Callithrix jacchus: one gene and its partners. The protein of the gene in region 2 interacts with the protein of the main gene of each other region in a pairwise test. Links are inferred from orthologs where the notes say so. Each region holds a gene or a part of one and is shown on either strand. Other genes may lie near its edges.

What was found.
Region 1: the proteins of KRT40 (region 2) and AP1M1 interact in binary tests that used the Homo sapiens proteins (3 or more experiments, as listed by UniProt). The two-hybrid records come from large-scale screens. The link is inferred for Callithrix jacchus from reciprocal best matches to the Homo sapiens genes KRT40 and AP1M1.
Region 3: the proteins of KRT40 (region 2) and ZBTB16 interact in binary tests that used the Homo sapiens proteins (3 or more experiments, as listed by UniProt). The two-hybrid records come from large-scale screens. The link is inferred for Callithrix jacchus from reciprocal best matches to the Homo sapiens genes KRT40 and ZBTB16.

What each region holds. Positions count from the first base shown.
Region 1 is NC_133523.1:14,851,484-14,854,558, reverse strand, and holds the end of AP1M1 (AP-1 complex subunit mu-1), read right to left. Parts: intron 2,416-3,075; coding exon 2,290-2,415; intron 1,725-2,289; coding exon 1,649-1,724; intron 1,494-1,648; coding exon 1,471-1,493; 3' UTR 561-1,470; downstream 1-560. UniProt on the Homo sapiens protein: Subunit of clathrin-associated adaptor protein complex 1 that plays a role in protein sorting in the trans-Golgi network (TGN) and endosomes.
Region 2 is NC_133506.1:92,276,163-92,279,762, reverse strand, and holds the start of KRT40 (keratin, type I cytoskeletal 40), read right to left. Parts: upstream 2,388-3,600; 5' UTR 2,347-2,387; coding exon 1,900-2,346; exon of another isoform or gene 1,205-1,899; coding exon 1,122-1,204; exon of another isoform or gene 491-1,121; coding exon 334-490; intron 1-333. UniProt on the Homo sapiens protein: May play a role in late hair differentiation.
Region 3 is NC_133511.1:13,736,576-13,740,398, reverse strand, and holds the start of ZBTB16 (zinc finger and BTB domain-containing protein 16), read right to left. Parts: upstream 2,484-3,823; 5' UTR 2,315-2,483; intron 1-2,314. UniProt on the Homo sapiens protein: Acts as a transcriptional repressor. Transcriptional repression may be mediated through recruitment of histone deacetylases to target promoters. May play a role in myeloid maturation and in the development and/or maintenance of other differentiated tissues.

The DNA of each region.
Region 1 (3,075 bases), on a different chromosome or scaffold from region 2:
AGGGAGGGGGAGAACCAAGGCAAGAGGGTGCTGGCCAGGCAGGGCCATGAGCACTGGGGGCAGGATAGCCGGGAGTATGTCTTATCTACGTGCTGTTTCCCCCATGGACCAGGTAGCAGTTCACAGAAAAAGTACCTGGGGCCCTTGTTAATGGTTTCCGGGACCCTGGCCCCAGAGCCTCGGCTTTGGCAGGTCAGGGTTGGCCCAAGAACCTGCATTTCTAGTGAGCACACAGGGATGCTGCTGACACAAGGACCGTGCTCGGAGAGGCTGGGGAGAGGCGGGGACCAGCTGTTGGCCATCTGAGGGTAGAGCAGGTCGGAGGAGAGAACCTGCCTCTGTGGTCTCCTCTGTGTGGCACAGAAGTGGTGGCCCATGGTCCAGCGCTGCAGCTGTCTCATCCAGCAGCTGCTTTTCCTGTTTTAGCTCGAGAAGCAGAAGCTGGTGGCACCTTGTGAGGCCACAGGAACGTCATGATGAAACCAGGCAAGTGCTGCAGCTGCCCGTGGTCATGTAGGAGTCGTCGAGACCACGCCGCAACCGAGGAAGACCGCAGAGTATTCAATGAATGGAATTTAATGTAACTATGACATGAACACACATAGGGTGGGGAGGGCGGTGACCAAGCGCAGACGTGGGTGACACATGGCCCCGCTCTCTGGACCCTCAGTGGGAAGAAGTCTGAGGCTGGCGTTTCTCGCCGAATCCCACCTCCCCTGCTGGGTAAATACTGGTCTGGCTGAGTGACAGCGTCTTGTGACCCAGGCTGGCCCTGAGAAGGTGCCACAGGTGAGGCCTGTGAGTCCAGAACAGGGGCCTCCAGGGAGCAGGCAGATGCTGCAGTGGCCCCCGAGAGCACCAGGTCCCGGCACCGATGTGTAAACGGCCCCCTGCAAGCACTGCCAGGGAGGAAGACGAGGGTGAGGGCTCGTCCTCACTAAGTGCTGCCTGAGTGCCGTGGGATGTGGGTGGGACATGGGGATGGTGAGGGCAACACAAACAGCAACGAATGCACAAAGACAAGTTCCAGGAACACCCATAAACCCATCACGTTCAACAAAATGGCAACAAGACGACGCACCGGCTGGCCTGGTGAGGCTGGTGCTTCCTTGGTGGCAGATACCACTTGCAGCTGACTGTCTGTCTGGCAAGCATTGGCCAAGCTTCTTAGTACCTGGGAGCTCAACAGCATAAAAGGCTGTAACCTCTAGAGGCAAAGTTTTCATCTCATCTCCTTCCCCTGAAACTGACTTCAGGGACAAAGAGACGAGATTTCTTGAAGACCAGCCTCTTCAGGAAAAGGGGCTTCTGAGATGAGTGTTGATGGCAGAGCAGGTGGCCTGGGGAAGGCAGGGGTCCCTGGGCAGAGGCTGGGAGGCTGGCCCGAGTCCAGGGAGGGCCCCTCTCTCCGGCGGGCTTGGCAGGTGTGTCCCCTGGTGCTGGGCCCAGGGCATTGGCAGCGACAGCCCCTCACTGGGTCCGGAGCTGGTAATCTAGGAGACAGAAGGGGAGGCCTCATGTTGGACTCTGCACCCAGGAGTGTGGGCACCCGACAAGGCTTTCAGGACCTGAGCTGACCGCTCCACCCTGGGGGCAGCCACAGAGGACCCCTCAGCACAACCCTACCCCACGGTGGGGCCGCACTCACCTCCGTTCTGTGTGATGTAACGCACCCAAGGCAAGGCCTGGTACCCGCTCTTCTCAATGATCTTCAGGTAGCGCACCTGGGGCACAGGTTACAGGGCCCTGAGCACCGCAGGCTCCCATCCCTGTTGGTCCCCCCATAACCATTCCTGCTGGAGCAGCCCAGGACTGGCAGGGGAGGCTGTGATGAGTGGACAAGCACAGACCTCGGGGGTGAAGGGGATTTGTGTCTGGACCATGCAGAGGCGTGGGAGGGCAGAGCCGCCTCTGGAAGCGGTGACGACCATAGTGAGCCTTGCAGACTCAGCCTCAGCAGCCTGCTGGGGGCCCAGCCAGAAGGCCCTTGGCTCTCCTTAAGCCTCTCCCACCATGGGCTTTTGAGGGGGTGCCAGGGAAGACGTCCCATGATGCATCAGTATGGACAGCAGAGCCTCAAATGCTAGTTTTTGGGCAGAATGAGTCTCTGGGCTTTGAGATCAGGGCTAAGCAGAGGCAGCCTCGCCTCTCCTCATCTGGAGTCCCACTGCCTGTGGGGAGGTGGAGCCCCGCAGCACCATGGGGTCGTGGCTGCAGCTGCCTGACCCCTTTTTCCGTGCTGGCTGCACTGATGTCTGTTGCCTGCGGCCTCACCTGGGCCGTACGTACCTGGATGCCAGAGGTAGTGAAGTAAGGGATCTCGAACTTGACACTGATTGGGGGTTTGCCCTCCTTGTCCTCTGCTTCCACGCTGGGCAGGCCGAAGTGGGCCCGCATCAGGTACTCCTTGCCACCCTGGGGAGCAGACGGGGAGGTGCTCAGGCCCAGGCCCTGCCCCCGGCTTGGCCAACAGCTCTGGCCCTAGCGGCTATGAGCAGAGACTGACCAGTCACCCCAGTCCAGGGAGGGGAGCGTGAGACCCTATGCTGGAGTGCCCAGCAGCCCCAAGAGGACACCCAGGCACCCAGAGCTGAGCTCACCAAGCCACCAGCCCCAGTCATCAAGCCCCTGCAATGTCACCTGTGTCATCTGCAGGGGCCCAGCACCCCAGCTCCCCCAATGCACTTTCCTCCAAGGCTGGTGAATGAGACAGACTGGCCATGGGAAGGAAGAGGGAGGGAGTGTGTGTGATGACTCCGGCAGGTGAGGGCTGCCGGGGACCAGGGGCCATGCGTCGAGGTTCAGGACAGCATGTGAAGAGTGTGTCAAGGTGAGAACCATGAACAGAGAGAGGTGACAAAAGGAAGAAACCAAGAAGCATGCCCTGAGGGTGAGCAGAGGGCAGCTCTGGCTCTGGCTGGAACCTGCATCCTGGCAATGACCTTCACCCTCTCCCTTCCTTGAGGAACAAGAGGTCACAGCCTGGGCATCCCCAGTGCCTGGTCCTGCCCTGAGCAGTCACGGACACGATCTCAACTCTGGCCACACCTGGGACCCACAGTCTCTGTTCCCCAG
Region 2 (3,600 bases):
GTTTCTCAGCCTGATTTTTATAGCCGGTGGATTGGAATTAGGAGTGGCATAAAACCTCCAAGGAAAGCCATTTGTGGAGTTATTCACCTTCTCCACAAAGGCAGGGGCAGGAGAAGAGTTTGATTTCTTCGTCTGGCACTGGCCAGGGGTATTTCACATCTTAATTCAGAGACACACTGGAATGATCAGGCTGAGCAGTAATAATGCCTTGAGCAGTTTTAGTCTAGCTTAAGCAACATCTGCCCTAGTTCTATTCACAAACATCAACAGATCATCTGTCAGTGTAACTATGTCACTCTTGGAGTCCTTCAACGGAGTTGCCACTTTCCTTACCTCTTCATGGGTTTTCTTAAGGCAAAGAAGATCTTCCTTCAGAGACTCCACATGGGCCTCCAGGTCGGATTTGCACAAGGTCAGCTCATCCAGGATTCCATGCAGGCCGCTGATGTCAGCCTGTAACAGCTGGCGAAGGGACAGTTCACTGTCGTACCTTTCACAGCAAAAGAGAAATCCAACACTTATTCTGTTGAATGCTGTGCAAAGTGTGAGGATACATGGAGGATCGACATATGAATTTCAGGAAGCCACATGCAGAATTTCTCTTAATTCCTGAGTAATGATAAATTCAAGCTTTTAAGACATTCTTAACTTTAAGATATTATATAGAGAATATTTGTGTGTGTGTGTGAGAGAGAGAGAGAGTGTGTGTGTGTTTGTGTGTGTGTGTGTGTGTGTGTGTGTGTGAGAGAGAGAGAGAGAGAGAGAGAGAGAGAGCGCCATAAATTATTTTCAAAATAAAATTAAGCCTGGGTGTGGTGGCTCATGCCTGTAATCCCAGCACTTTGGGAGGCCAAGGCAGGCAGATCACCTAAGGTCAGGAGTTTGAGACCATTCTGGCCAGCATGGTGAAACCTCTTCTCTACTAAAAATACAAAAATTAGCTGGGCATGGCAGCACATGCCTGTCTGTAATCGCAGCTACCTGGGAGACTGAGGCAGGAGACTCGCTCAAACGCAGGAGGCGGAGGTTGCAGTGAACCATGATAGTGCCACTGCACTCCAGCCTGAGCAACGAGGGAAACTCCACCTCAAAATAAATAAATTAAATAAAATTCAACTCACTTTGACTTAAAATCCTCAGTGGCCAGTTTGCAGTTGTCAAGCTGTACAGCAAGTCTAGAATTCTCTGCCTTCGTGCATAAGATCTGTGAAGAAAGTCCTTATTTAATAAAGTATTCTTTGAGAGAAACCTAAATAAACTACTATCCAACAGCTATGCCATTAGTTATCCTTTGAAAGTCTTTATAAGAAAGTGTAAAATGGCCGTTAGCTGCTTTCCGTATTCACCGTGTCACTTGATGAAGCAAACAAGCAGTGCCAATTCAGAAACAAAATAGAGACATAAAAAGGTTCACTTTTTCTCATAACATAAGACATTTTGCACTATTCCTAGGCAGTGGAACGCCATTAACGTTTTTCTCCATCAGTAGTTTGTATTATGACTATACCCTCTCCCATAATGGAAATTCATCAGGGAGAGAAGAAAATGACTAGGTGGTTAAAAAGATGGCATTTCATGATCTGTGTTCAGATAATATAAATGTTCAGTGTCACATACAAAAGCGATTTTGGATATAACACAGTCTTTTTGCATTCTATAGATGACGAAGGAAAAGTCCACAGACAAGTTACTTTGTTATAGTTACTCAGTAATCAGGGGTAGCTTTAGGGGTGGGACTGAGGTTTCCCGACTTCCAGCACAGTGCTCTTCCCTATGTACCATTAACTTGTAGAACTCTCCTTTCTCTTGGTTTCCTTCTGTAAAACAGCACCTTCTAGTAGAAAGATAAAGCAAACCATAGATCGAGAAGCTGGAGCACTAGGGCAACAGGACATGCACCTTTTGTTGGAGATCTTCAATGGTGTTGAAGTAACACTGATAATCGGGACATGCCAGTGGGATATCCTGTTCACATTGCTCTTGGATCCTGGATTCCAGCTCTGCATTGGTCTCCTCCAGGCTGCGCACCTTCTCCAGATAGTTGGCGAGTCTGTCATTCAGGAACTGCATCGTCTCCTTCTCATTGCTAGTGAACACTCCATCCTCACACCAGGCACAGTTCCCCACCAAGCAGGGACTACTACAACTCCCAGTAAAGTAGCATGGCAGGAGGCAACCGGTCAGCCCGAGAGACCTGGAAAGGGAGCTAGGGGTCTGACATCGGGATGCAGCACAGGAACCGGGGAGACAAGCTGTCTCCATGGAACAGCTTGAGGCAGGTGCACAACAGGAAGCCCTGGTACAGGACTCAGGAGAGCAGAGCGTGGAGGAGCAGTCAGAAGACATCCTTCTAGAAGCAAAGACAGAGACTGGCTGCAAAACACCAGTTGCCTTGACTCCAAAACACTCCTTCCCTCCTGAGAGTTTTATATAGCGCCCCCTCAAAATGGGTGTTTACAGACTGCACCGGATGTTTTCGTCATCATTGATGGTGCCGGTTTTTATACAAACATCTCATTAGAGTTGTTTATTTACTGAAGAAGAGTTGTATGCCTCATAAAAGGGGGATAACTTTAGGTTACCAAAGCAGGGCCCACACCATTTCCATGTGCAAGACAAAACACTTATTTCAGAAAATCATCATAGGAAGCATTGTCTTTTTGACAGAATAAGAAAAGAAAGAGAACATTTGGCCAATCAATAATTATAGATACAACTCATTACAAATCAGGAAATTAATATTCCCACAGATTTTGATTCTGTGCATTGATTGCTTGTGTCTTCTTTAAAATTAGTATTACGGCTCATAAAAGGACATTCATTTGTTTGTCCACCACTATAAAAATGGTCAGTGTGGTTAGCAATCTTCCAGTGCTTTTTGTGATCTTAGAGCATGTGCTGACAGGACTGGAGAAGTGAGGTATATACTGGGTTTAAAGAGTGTGAGTGTGTGTGTGTGTGTACAAACCATGTCTACCTGCATACAAATGGAAAAGTCTCTTTACACAACTGATAGGAATAACTTGTTTCCTGTAAGTTAAAATATATATTGGTTAGAGCTGGAATTATGATCTTTGACTTCCTGAAACTTGCCTTCTCCACACTTCTTATTTTTAGATAAGTCATACAATTTTACCTGTATTCCTAATAAGAGTGAAATATAAATTTTCTAAGTTATAATCTTTTAGTCCCTTGGGAATTCCTCAGTGATTATACTTCAGAAAAGAGGGAGGAACCCACAGGAGTCTTTGCTTCTGAGATGTATAAACATACTGGAACTTGGGAAATAAAATTCTATTCAGGTTCCAAATGACTAATTCCACTGGTTGAAATCTCTGATGCCAAATCTGACAGATAGGAGCTTGAGATGTGTGACTTTTTTGGATTCTCTCTTGAATTTCACCTCCGTTATGAAGTACAATCTATTTCACTTTGCTTAGCGTTAGTCATGACATGTATTTCATTTTCAAAGGTGCACAGAGAAAATTGCCTCTAGAATTTTTAAGAACATTATAGGAAAAAAACACATTAATCTGAAAAAGTTAAAAAATTTATGATCCAAAATAAACTTATTTCTTCTCCTAATCTTGAGTGCTGCTT
Region 3 (3,823 bases), on a different chromosome or scaffold from region 2:
TGACTGAGGCAGTAGAATCACTTAAACTGGGAGGTGGAGGTTGTGGTGAGCCAAGATCACGCCATTGCACTCCAGCCTGGGCAAAAAGAGTGAAACTCTATCTCAAAAAAAAAAAAAAAAAGTGGGTGTACACACACACTTACATAAGGTGCTGTACCTACCCTCCTACCCATAACTGAGCAGTGGACAGGAGGATCTAAAAAACAAAGAAGGATGAGTCATTAAGGTATGGAGAGAGCCGGTAGTAAATATGCGCCCCTACAGCCAGGAGTGCTCATGCTGGGCTGGGTGTGTGAACTCCACGTGTGTCCCACAGGCTCCAAGGAGTCTGCAAGTCCTGTGACCAGGGGCAGCAAGGGATGCTGGCCATGGCTCAGAGGCTCCGGACGTGGTATTGGCACCAGCATCTGTGGTGTGAGTTATAACCAGTACGAAGGGAAGACAGGGCTGGGAAACAAAGGCCTCTCCCTGAGCCTGTTCAGGATCAATAAGAGGGCTCCTGTACTCCGAATCCCGCTTAAGGAGTGTTAGAAAGACCGCCCAGGCCCAGGGCCCTCCCCGTGTCTGCCTTGCAGCGGCCAATATTGCAGTGAATGAACTGGGAGCAAGGAACAGCAAGGTCTCTCCCTCACTCTTCAAACACTGCTTACTTGCCTCCACCCCCAGAAGGAGCTCTATCAGTTCAGGAGCCTCCACGCTCACACAGAAAGGATTCACAGGACGCCTGATCAAGACACTTTTGCTGCCCACCCCGGGGTGGGGATGGAGGCCGCCAAGGGTGGGATGACCATTCAGCCGAGCCTCTCCACCTCGTGCTTTCCCGCAGACATCGGGACTTCTGAAAACTAGGAGAGAGCAGCCAAAAGAATGGATGCTTGGCGCCCCAGAACAAGCCGTTTGGGTCCTGAGGGAAATCGGGGCACCCTCAGGCAGCCGTCTTCCCCACCCACCGCTCAGCGCCTGCGATCTGGCCGGAGCTGGCTGCAGCGTCCAGCCGGGCGGCGCAGGGAGAGCCGGCGCTAACCCGCCAGAGCCTCAGGATCGACTGCGCTCTCACACGCCCCCAGTTCCCAGCGACCCCCACCGAGAGTTGGAAACGACTTCAGCAAACTTGGGGAAGCAACTTTTCCCGAAGAGCTAGACACCTGAAAGAAGGAGAGCTGAACTAGGGGCAGGGGAAAGCGAAAGAGACGGGGAGGAAAAGCCACAGCCCGGGCGGGCAGGACTACGCGGCGGCAGGAGGCGGACCCGCCCCGCGGCGAAGGGGAAGCACAAAAGCCCCGCAGCGAGTTGTGGGAGGAAAGGCGAGAAGGGGTCTGCCGGCCCTCCCTCTCCGACCCAAGGCCGTGACCCCCAGGAGGGACCGGCTGGGTCCCGGGCCTCGGGCCAACAGCGCTAGCGGCCGGCGCGCCCGGCCCAGGCTCGGTGCGAGCGGCTCGGGAGCCGGCGAGCGAGTCGGTGCGGAGCGCTCTGTGCGTCTCGGTGGGTCCGCGGGCCGGCGGGACCGTGCGCATTTCCAGCGCGTGCGGGAGTGTGCGAGGCGCTGTGCGAGCGAGCGGCGGGCGCGCCAGGGTGGGAAAGGCATCCCGAACGCATCAGGTGCAGAGCCTGGCACCCACCGAGAGCGGCCGGGAGCGCACGGCGAGCTCCGGCGTCACCGCCCGTCCCGCCGAGAGCCGAGGAGGGCCCGGAGCGCTGGAAACCCTCTGGAGCTTCCCTCCCTCCCCTGCAAAAGGGGGATCAAGTCTAATCAAGAAAAAGCCCACCACGTTTTTTCAAAGAGAAACAAAACGTAAGCCGTCCCAGTCCTGCTCTCCTCCGCCCCCGCATCTACTCGTCAGCTTCTCCAATTCTAGCTTCCCAGCCGGCCGGCGAATAAACACACAAATAAATAAACCACAACCTTATCTCGCGCCCGCGCACCGGTCGGCAAACATAAGAGCACCCACGGGCTCTGCTCCTCTGCCCGCCCCTGGCAGTACAAAGCCTCCAGATCCCCGACCCTCTGCTCACGCCCTCAGCCCCCGCAGACCGCTACGCCCCCCACCTCTCACCCCGACCGTGCCCCGGAGAGGAAGGGCTGCGGAGGCAGCTGCGCCCAGGCTGACAGCCGGGGCTCCCCCTTCCAGCCGATCCCCAACCGGTGGTGGCGACGGCTGCAGCGGCAGTAAGGGAACACGCCAAATAAAAAAGGCACAAGCCCAGCGGCCGAGTGGCCGAAGCGAGCGCGCGCCCCCCAGACCTCTCCAGCCCCGGGGGGGCTCGGCGCGCGGCGTTCGCTGGGCGGTGCGCCTCTCCCCGGCCCCTCACTCACCGCAGCCGAGCCGGGCACTGTGGGGTGGGTGTGCGTGCCTGTCGGGGGGTGTGTGCCTGTGTCGGGGAGGGGTGTTGCTGGGGAACTGTTGCTCTCCGTATCACGGCGGCAGCGACGGCATCGCCCGGCAGTTCGCAGTACCCGCTCTCATCGCCCTCAACTCCTCTCTGCTGCGAGGTTAGCAAATCACCACCGGCTGCTGCGCCTCCGCCGCGTCCCACGTCAACGCCGAGCCCCCTCCCCTGCAAGGCCCCGGCGCCTCTCCATCTTTAGTGCTGGCGGCCGAGCCCGGCTCCCTGCCCACAGCTGCCCCCCTTCCCTCCCCCCTCCCGCGCCGTCCCCGGGCTCAGCCCGCCCACCACCCCGCACTGGCCAAGCCCGCGCGCGCTCCCCGCCCCACCCCTCCTTTCCCCTCCCCTCCCTTCCCCGCGCTCCGCGCTCCGGGCTTCGCCTGACATCTAGCTGCTGCTGGGGCGCCGGCGGCCGCCGCTCACCGGCCGAGGAGAGAGAAAGCAGGGAGCTAGAGGACAGGAGTGCAGGGAACTCGGAACCCTTAATGGGGGCACCGAGGGTGAAGGGCGCGCAGCAGCCCCCACCTACTCCCAGGATTTTAATTTCTATCGGATACGGGTTTGTGCCCCCTCCCCCGCACTCCGATGCTCAAGCACGCAGTTTTGTCCCCTTTTCCAATCTTTGCCCAATTCAGTGCGTGTCATCTCGCCTTTAACTTTCTTCCTCTTGGCTCGGGGCTGCGTTCCCAGGGGCCCCTGACATCAGTTTTAAAAGGCCGCTTTCCTAGCCCAAGCCTGGGCTTCCCATCCTTCTGGCTACTGCGCGCCTCCCGGCTTGAGCATCCGGATTTCAAGAAGTCTCCAGATGCAGAATTCGCGGGCCCTGGTGAACCTGGTGCCATAAGGTCCGCTGGGATCTACTGTCGAAGCGACACGCCCCTTTTTAGATGTCGCGGTTGCTGGAGGCCAAGGTCGAGTCCTGAGAAACTTTTATCTCTCCTAGTCTTGGACAACCTCTCAGCTCTGCCCCCCCCCCCCCCCCACACACACACACACACATACAGAGCAATCTGGGTGGAAACAGTTCTCTAGAACTGCCCCCAGCTCAGCACACAGTCTTCAGGGGGCAGGGGAAAGCTTGGAAAAGCTCTGGGCCCCTCAGAAGCGCGTCCTCCTCTCAGCTGGCCGCCCTACTTTAGAGGGTAGAGCAGCCAAAGAAAATGTACCTTTCCTTCCTCTGCTCATGTGAAGGTAAAAAAAGGGGAAAAAATTTTTTGGAAAATAAAAAAAGAAAATGTACCCTTCCTCTGACCGCAGAAAGCTGCTGTCCCCGCTTTTCTCTGGAGCTGAGTGAAGATAGGGGGCCAGAGGCACTGGCTGTGGATTCTGACTGAAGCCTAGGAGGTTGGGGTGGGAGGTGGGGGTGGCCGAGAACACCATGCAGGGGTCTCAGGCTAGTCAGCCCTCGAGGTCACGCGGTTTTAGCAAGGTGGAGCTT